Linked DNA regions of Canis lupus familiaris. The protein of the gene in region 1 purifies or fractionates together with the protein of each later gene. This does not show direct contact. Links are inferred from orthologs where the notes say so. Each region holds a gene or a part of one and is shown in the gene's direction. Other genes may lie near its edges.

What was found. The genes of interacting proteins can lie anywhere in the genome.
Region 2: the proteins of DCAF10 (region 1) and CUL4A purify together in Homo sapiens (affinity purification with mass spectrometry; 4 studies listed by BioGRID and IntAct, with this or other methods). This does not show direct contact. The link is inferred for Canis lupus familiaris from reciprocal best matches to the Homo sapiens genes DCAF10 and CUL4A.

What each region holds. Positions count from the first base shown.
Region 1 is NC_049232.1:54,446,480-54,450,688, forward strand, and holds part of DCAF10 (DDB1- and CUL4-associated factor 10), read left to right. Parts: intron 1-3,535; coding exon 3,536-3,649; intron 3,650-4,209. UniProt on the Homo sapiens protein: May function as a substrate receptor for CUL4-DDB1 E3 ubiquitin-protein ligase complex.
Region 2 is NC_049243.1:60,779,874-60,784,803, forward strand, and holds the start of CUL4A (cullin-4A), read left to right. Parts: upstream 1-1,993; 5' UTR 1,994-2,010; coding exon 2,011-2,164; intron 2,165-2,654; coding exon 2,655-2,770; intron 2,771-3,426; exon of another isoform or gene 3,427-4,930. Other genes in the region: PCID2 (PCI domain-containing protein 2), read right to left, coding at 1,440-1,475. UniProt on the Homo sapiens protein: Core component of multiple cullin-RING-based E3 ubiquitin-protein ligase complexes which mediate the ubiquitination of target proteins. As a scaffold protein may contribute to catalysis through positioning of the substrate and the ubiquitin-conjugating enzyme.

The sequences.
Region 1 (4,209 bases):
GATCCCCTTTTTCAAACATTTTAAAATCTCATACTTGACTATATGTAACAGCTATCTCCTGCTTGCTTTTTTTTTTCAAACACATGTTAGATTTATAAAATTTTCACTGATAAGGCCACATTTCAAAAGATTATCATAGAAGGGATGCCTGGGTGGCTCAGCGGTTGAGCTTCTGCCTTCAGCCCAGGGCGTGACCCTGGAGACCCAGGATCAAGTCCCACGTTGGGCTCCCTGCATGGAGCCTGCTTCTCCCTCTGCCTGTGTCTCTGCTTCTCTCTCTCTCTCTCTGTCTCTCATTAATAAATAAATAAAATCTTAAAAAAAAAAAGATTATCATAGAATTAGAGTTTCTCAACACAATGTAATCATTAGAAATGAATAACAAAAAAGATAACCAGAAAAACCTCATGTGTTTTCAAGTTAAGAAAACATTTATAAATAACATATGGGCCAAATAAATGATAATGGAAATTAGAAATATTTAGCACTAAGTGATAATGAAAGTACCATATGTCTAAAAACTTGTAAGTAGGGATCCCTGGGTGGCGCCTCGGTTTGGCGCCTGCCTTTGGCCCAGGGCGCGATCCTGGAGACCCGGGTTCGAATCCCACATCGGGCTCTCGGTGCATGGAGCCTGCTTCTCCCTCTGCCTATGTCTCTGCCTCTCTCTCTGTGTGACTATCATAAATAAATAAAAATTAAAAAAAAACTTGTAAGTAAAACTGTACTTAGTAGGAAAATTACAATCATTAATAAACTGGAAAGGAAGACAAGGAAAATTAATGAGCTAAGTATCCATCTGAAATAGGGAATAGTGAAGTTATCTGCAAATAATAGCAAAGTAAGTTTGAAGAAAGCAGAAGGAAGGAAATATAGTAACAGTAGAATTTCAATACAAATACTCAACAGAGAAAATCTTGTCTTTGAAAAGACAAATAAAAATGAAAAACACTCATATTGATGAAGTGAATCCCCTGGGCATCAGAGTGACTCTTGATTTCGGCTCAGGTCACAAACTCGGGTGTGTGAATGGAGCCACACCTCAGGCTCTTGGTGCTGAATCTGCTTGTCCCTCTTCCTGCTCTCACAGGCACTCTCTCAAAATCTTAAAAAAAAAAAAAAAAAAAAAAAAATCCCCAGGGACACCTGGGTGGCTCAGCAGTTGAGTGGCTGCCTTTGGCTCAGGGCATCGTGATCCTGGAGTTCTGGGATTGAGTCCTACATCAGGTTCCTTGCATGGAGTCTGCTTCTCCCTCTGCCTGTGTCTGCCTCTCTCTTTGTCTCTCATGAATAAATAAATGAAATCCTTAAAAAAAATCCCCAAGTAAATCATATTCAGAGTAAAAGGGGACATAATTTCAGATGCAAGAGATAGAGATTGTAGCTTTCCAGAAATAGAGTAGGTGGTTTGGACCAACCTTTCAACAGAGAATAATTAGAAAAGCTAGAAGAAATATAAAATATTTAATGTAAGGTATAAAAAGATTATGTTTGAAGAGATTGGAAAATTAAGGCAATAGGTAAATTTCAGGACCAAGATCTACAAAAGGAGGGAAGCCAGAAATTGAGCCCACCATTTTAGCCAACTGAATTAAGCAGTATGGTAGAAATGAAAAGTATAGAAAATAAAATAATGTAAATCACTACACTAACATATTGAAGGAAAAATCTAGGGTAATTTCAATAAATGTTGGAAACCATTTTATACAACTGAAAATATATTAATGGAAAAACAGCAAATTTGAGTAGAACTTCCTTAATCCAATAATAGGAATCTACTCCCAAAAAAGAAAAGAAACTCTACAGCAAACATTGTACTTTAATGATGAAACGGTGAATGTATTCTTAAAAAAACAGGAATGAGAGGAGTGCCTATTACATTCACATTTGCATTTAACATTGTACTGAAAGTCTTAGCCAGTGCAGCAATGAAATAAGTATTAAACAAGAACAGAGCATTTGTTTATAGATGTATGATTATCAACAAAACCTAAAGTATAAAACTTACAGATAAAGTATTAAAATAGCAAGATTGATGGATAAATAATTTTAAAAATCCATTGCATTTCCGTACACCAATAACAAACAAAATTTTAAAAGAACATTTACTAGGGACGCCTGGGTGTCCCAGTCGGTTGAGCGTCTGCCTTCGGCTCAGGGTGTGATCCTGGGATCCAGGATCAAGTCCCACATCGGGCTCCTTGCAGGGAGCCTGCTTCTCCCTCTGCCTATGTCTCTGCCTGTCTCATTAATATATAAATAAAATCTTAAAAAAAAAGGAAAGGTCTGAAATGAGACAGTACTAAATATCATAAAGGAAAAATTAAGTTTGACTATATCTAACTGGTTTGGTAGGATATATGCCAAACCTTTTGCAGTACATTTTAATAGATATTGATACAGAAATATATAATTTTGCTATATATGACTTTTTTTTTCTAAGTTGCCTCATCTATGCATGTTTTTTCTACAACCAGCTCTTTTATTTAAAAATGTTTTGGGGGCAGCCTGGGTGGCTCAGCGGTTTAGCGCCGCCTTCGGCCCCAGGCCTGATCCTGGAGACCTGGGATCAAGTCCTGCATGGGGCTCCCTGCATGAAGCCTGCTTCTCCCTCTGCCTGTGTCTCTGCCTCTCTCTCTCTCTCTCTCATGAATAAATAAATAAATATTTTTAAAAAATGATTTGGAAGCACCAGGGTAGGTCGGTGGGTTAGGTGTCTAATTCTTGATTTCTGCTCAGGGGCATGAGATTGAGCCCTGCATTGGGATTCTCTCTCTCCGTCTTCCTCCGCTTCTCCCCAACTTCACTCCTTAGCTCTCTCTCAGGAGTATGCTCTCTCTCTTTCAAAAAATATATATGTTTTGGAGTTCTTTCATATCCATATGAAACTATCCCTTTCCTTTTAAATGTTGCACCATAGGGGCACTTCAGTGGCTCAGTAATTGAGTAGTCTGCCTCCGGGTCAGGTCATGTCCCCAGTGTCCTGGGATCGAGTCCCATATCGCCGGGACCCTGCTTCTCCCTCTATGTGTCTGTCATTCTCTCTGTGTCTCTCATGAATAAATAGATCTTTTAAAAAATAAAATAAAAATAAATGTTGCATCATATTGCAAAGTATTACATATCATGGCTATATAATCAATCATTCCTCCTTTCATGTACATTTAGGTTACTTTCAGTTCCTCATTATGGTGAAATATATCTTTATATATGCTTCTTTGTATTTATAAATGATTATTTCTTTAGATTAAGTTCCCATAAAAAATTGCTCAGTCAAAAAGTACACACATTAAAAAAAGTTTGATACATCAGGTACTCTCCAAACCTAAGCTGTACCAGTTTATGCTCCACTATAATGTTTGAGAGTACCATTTCCTACTATTGCCAAGAGCAGATAGTTTCAGTTTTTGAGATATTTGCTTCTAACATGAGCAAAAAGAAGTTATTTATTATAGTTTGTGTAATTATAAATAAGTGAATATCAGTAATAAGAGAGTGCTAGAAAACTAAAGAAAAATGTGTCCTTTGCTTTCAGGTCAGTGCTGACTGTTGCTTGTGAACAGACTGAAGTTCTGCTTTTTGACCCTATATCTTCAAAGCACATAAAAACACTTTCTGAAGCTCATGAAGACTGTGTAAATAATATCAGGTTAGTGTTATAGTGAAATTTACAGTGTGACACAAAATATTCTATTTTGAAAGTTAATGAAACTTTGTAATGTTTTGCCCAGCAGTGCTAGATATACATTTGTGAATTGTGAATTTTATCCCTTGTGAAATATATCCCTTTAATTACAAAACTTACTGTTAACCATTTTGGATTAGAATCTTTCTGACATGCATTTTTACTCCCATATGATTTTACCTTTTCTCTTCATATGTCAGGGTCATCATTATGAACCTCAACCATGTACTATGACAATCCTGCAATGTCTTTGGGCTAGTGATCTGTATAGAATTATGACAGTCCCATCACTAGGCTTCTCTCACCCCTAACCCCAAATCCAAACTTTTGAGAGGAAAAAACACATATGCACAGAGAACTTCTTTCTAAAAGCATGTTGGAAACTCCTTAAATTCTCAATAATCTGGGAAGTAAATAACAATTGAACAGCTTGGTGGATTAATATGCAGTCATTAAAATGATGGTCACAGGGACTACATAACAACATGGACAAATGCTTGGGACAATATAGGTTAAAATCATGA
Region 2 (4,930 bases), on another chromosome or scaffold:
TGGGCCAACAGTAGGCTATCGGTTAAGCTTTTGGTGAGCCAAAAGTCATAGGCTTATTTCCAACTGCTTGGGGGAGTCAGTGTCCCTAACCCCCACACTGTTCAAGGGAGAGCTGTACAAACAAACCGATCTTTTACTAAAAACAATTTTTAAAAGTAGAATATTAGAAAAAATGTTACAGTAAATTAACTCCACCTGTCCTCTCCAAACAGAAACTGGAGGCGTGTGGAAGCACCAAGCACTGAATAAAAAGGGCCTCACGGGAGGCAGGGACAGCCTAGTGACTGCCGACCACTGCACGGACAGCCCTCCCTGGGCTGCTCAAACTGGAAGTGAGCGCTGGGAAGACAAGGCCCTGACAACTAGCTCTTCCCTTGGGCCGCTGTTCAGGGCTGTTGATGTGGCTAGTCCCTTTGAGCAGCGAAGCAATGTCTCCCCCATCCCTTGAGCGAAACGCAGGCTTGCTCGTCACCTGCCACACAAGGGGTGGATGCCTTCTTTGACGCAGGTGCAGGCACCCTTCCGGGCCCACAGGCACTGACAGGCTGACCCCACACCACCGCTGTGCTGAGCTCCAGCCCTTGGTCTCTGGCCAGGAATGCGTGTGTTCCAGGAGCATCCAAGGAACCAACAAGAGAACCTGCAAGCTTCGGGGAGAGTGAAAGCAAAGCAAGCCCTGACCTGAGAGCTGCTGGGAAGTAATCCCGGGGACCGGGGCAACAAAGACCTACCTGTGCGCAGGCAGCTGCCGACCCAGGATGTGTTAGGTACGAAACAGGGAGCAGACTCGTGTGCAAACCCACAGGGTCAGTAAGATTCAAGAGACACTTCCGACCCCGAGATCTGGGGGGGGTCTGCCTGGGACCGAAAGCGCTGGCTGGCTGCGGCGAGGCTGCCGGCCGGAGTGCTGCGTGGAAAGGCTCGGCGTCTGGGGCCAGAAGCTCGGGTCGGAACGGCTGCCCCTGGACGGCCGCGGCACCGCCTCCAAGGAAAAGTGCGAACTAGGGGCCGCCGTGCACCACGGTAAGAGCTCGCCGGCGCGGGAACGAGGGGCGCGGCCGAAGCTGGGGCAGACCCGGCAGGGCGGGCGGAGACCGGACTCGAGGCGTGGGGTCGCGGGTCTGAGCCCGGCAGGCTCGCCCTTGCGCCTCCCCAAGCCCTCGAGGGCTTTAAGACGCACATAAGACGCCAACGAGGGCCTGTAGTCCAACGGGTTCTCAAAGGCCCACCCCGCGGGCACCGTCAGAGGAGAGGCCCGAGGCCCGCGGCGGGGCGGGGGCGGCGGCGGCGGCGGCTGCGGCGGCGGCGACAGGAGCCCCTAAGCCCTCACGGTGCCCCCGAGGACCGCCCCCCCGGCCACACCCCCGAGCGGACGCCGGTGGAGCTTCTCGCATCGACTCCCGCCGGCCCACACCCGCGCCCCGGCCCCGCGTACCCACCTGCTGCAGGTACTGGTTGATGGTGATGTGCGCCATGGCCGGACCCCCCGCGGAAAGTGGGCGTGGGCGGGGCCTGCGCGCGCGGCTGCGTCCGCCTCACTTCCGGCCGCCGGTCCGTCCGGACCTGCGCGCCCCCCAGGCCCGCCTCCCCCGCACGCGGGTTCCGGAGGAAGAGAGTCCGCGGCAGCGTGCGCCCCGGGCCGGGATGGCGGCGCGCCCGGGCTGAGGAAGGCCGCGGCCTGCGCTTCGATCCGCCACCGCCTCCCGGCGAGGACGCCCGGTCCGCGCCCTCTGGGTGCCTGGGCTCCCGCCCGGGGCAAGCTGGGCCCCGCCGCCCCCCTCGACCGTTATACGTTCCACAAGGAGCGCGGCGGCCGCCGGGCGGCCCGGGGCGGGGGCGGGGGCGGGCCGGGGCGGGGGCCGGGGCCGGGGCCGGGGTCGGGGTCGGGGTCGCGCCGGGCCGGCGGGGCGGCGGTTGGGCGGCCGGGGCGGCGCTGACGCGAGGCCCGCCCGCCCGCGCGGCCGGGGAGGCGGGACGGGGCGGGGCGCCCGCTGCTTCCCGGCCGCCGCCATGGCCGACGAGACCCCCAGGAAGGGCGCCCTGTCGGCGCTGGTCGGGCACACCAACGGCCTCACCAAGCCCGCGTCCCTGGCCGCGGCCGCCGTGGCCTCCAAGCCGGGCGGCGCCGGCGGCTCCAAGAAGCTCGTCATCAAGAATTTCCGAGGTGGGTGCGGGGCGGCGGGGCGGCGGGGCGGGGCGGGGTGGGCGCCCCCGGCCGCCGGAAGTGCCCGTCCCGGGGAGAGGGGGTCCCGGGGGGGCGCAGGGGTGGGGGGAGGGGGCGCCTCCGGCCGCCGGAAGTGCCGCTCCCGGTGGGGGGGGGAGGGACGGGGGGGGCTCCCGGCCGCCGGAAGTGCCGGTCCTACGGAGAGGGAATCCCGGGGGGGGGGGGCGCCCCCGGCCGCCGGAAGTGCGGGTCCCGGGGCCTGGGGCCTGGCGCCTGGCGGGCGGCGGCGAAGGGGTGTCCGGTCCCCGGAAGCGCCCCGGCTGTGTCCCGGCTCCGGCGTCCACGCAGCGGGGGCCCGCAGCGGCCGGTCCGCGCCCGGGGCCCCCAGGACTGGGTCATTCCGGGAAGGGAAGCGGGGGGGCTGCGGGCCCGTGAGCGTGATCGTGGGCGCGACGGGGGCGCCGACCCTCACCCCGCCCCCGCCCCGCAGACAGACCGCGGCTGCCGGACAACTACACTCAGGACACCTGGCAGAAGCTCCACGAGGCGGTGCGAGCCATCCAGAGCAGCACGTCCATCAGGTACAACCTGGAGGAGCTGTACCAGGTGAGGGCCGAGGCGGACCCCGCGCGGGCGCTCTTCCCCCCCGTCGCTGCCGCACGGCCACGCGGCCCTCCTCCTCTTTATTTTCCGATCGTTGCGGTTAAGACGCGGAAACGGATTTTGTTACGTCCGAAGATGTTCCGTTTCCAACGTAATTGTGGAAAAGGAGCATTACTTTACGTATTCCGTTGATCAGCAGACCGGTTTTCCTGATAACTGGTTTTCAGAGAATAGCATTCGTTGATTAGTGCGTTACCTACCACCTACATTTTGCATGACCGTGTGATAGATACCTCCGTTTCTATGAAGACATTGGAATTAAAACTTTCTGTTTGCATAACTGTTTGTTGTAAGAACTATGGACATCACAAAAAAGGACAAAAATAAATTAAAACCACCTGTACTCCCGCCACTCAAGGAAGACCGCTATTGGCATTTTGGTGGACATCCATCCCTTCTTTGTAATAACTTTGTATGAGTTTATATTTTTTGATCGACTTTTTGAGGCATAATTTGCATAGAACCTGTACTTTAGTGACTTATATTGAGGTGTAAATGCTGTTATCATGGTAACATACAGAATTTTTTTTAAAACATTTTTAAAAATTTTTATTTATTTAGGATAGTCACACAGAGAGAGAGAGAGAGGCAGAGACACAGGCAGAGGGAGAAGCAGGCTCCATGCACCGGGAGCCCGATGTGGGATTCGATCCCGGGTCTCCAGGATCGCGCCCTGGGCCAAAGGCAGGCGCCAAACCGCTGCGCCACCCAGGGATCCCTAGAATATTTACATCACTTCAAAGAGTTCGTTCTCCTGACCTGGTCCTGGCGGATCACTGACTTCCTTGCTGTTGGTCTGTTGGACCAGTTTAAGTCTCATCGGTGGAACCTGTGTGGGGCAGTTGTCTGCACCCAGTTCCAGTAGTTTGTTTCTTTGTTGCTGGGGAGTACAGCTACAGCCTTTCACCAGGATAACTGACAGTTTGCAGTTGGTAGGAATAAAGCTGTTCTGAACCTGAAGGAATAAGTCTCATGTGGACATGGGTAAATATCTAGAAGTAGTCTCAGAGTCATAAGGCAAGTGTACATTTGACTTTAGGACATTTTCTGTTTTCAAAATGGCTATACCATCTTGTATCTGGGCAGCAGTACGTGAGAGCTCCGTTTTTCTATGTTCTTGCTAACACTTGGTATTATCCGATTTTTTAAGGAATTTTATTCACTTGAGTACACATGTACTGTTCTTTTGTATTTCCGTATGAATTTTATGATGTTTGCCAATTTCTAAAAAATAAAGCCTACTAGCATTTTGATTAGGATTGTGTCAAATTCTAGATTAATGTGGGGAACGTTGATGTCTTGATGGTACCAGGCGTGCCAACTGATGACACGGCACAGCTTTGTTTGCTTTTCCTTGATTTCTCAGTAAGGATTTCTGGTTCTGGTGTGTAGGTCTTGTACATCTTCTATGAAATACTCTTAAGCGTTTCGTACGTTTGGTGGTATTACAAGCAGTAGTATGGTATAAGTTTTAATTTCTGGTTCTTGCTAGTATATAGAAATAGAAATTGTTTTTTGTGTATCACTCTAGTACCCTGCTCTCTTGCTGACCTCGCTTCTAGTAGCTTTTTGTAGATTCCATGGGATTTTCTACCTAAGCAATCACATCACCTATGAATAGAGGTGGTTTCACTTCTTTCTAGTCTGCATGCCTTTTATTTCCTGTCTTGTGTCCCTGCACTGCTCAGAACCTCCAGAACAGTGGTGAGTAGAAGTGGTAAACCCACACTCTCTTGTTTAGCTCCTGCTCCTAGTGGGAAAAGCCTTCGGTCCTTCATCATTGAATATGATGTTGAGTGTTGGGCATTTTTTTGGTGGTGTTTTGTTTTGTTTTGTTTTCTAAAAATACCCATTTGTCAGGTTGAGGAAGCTCCTTTCCATTCCTAGTTTGCTGAGAAATTACCAGAAGTACCTGTTGGATTTTGATGACTTCTTTTATGACTGTTAAGATGATCATATGACTTTTGTTATTTTAGTTCTTTGCATTGTTTGACGTCTCAGTTGGTAAGACCATCCAGCAGTCCTTGGATAAATCTGACTTGCCTAGTGGTGTATGAATTTTTGATGTACTGTTGGTTTCAGTTTGCTAACATTTCATGAGTT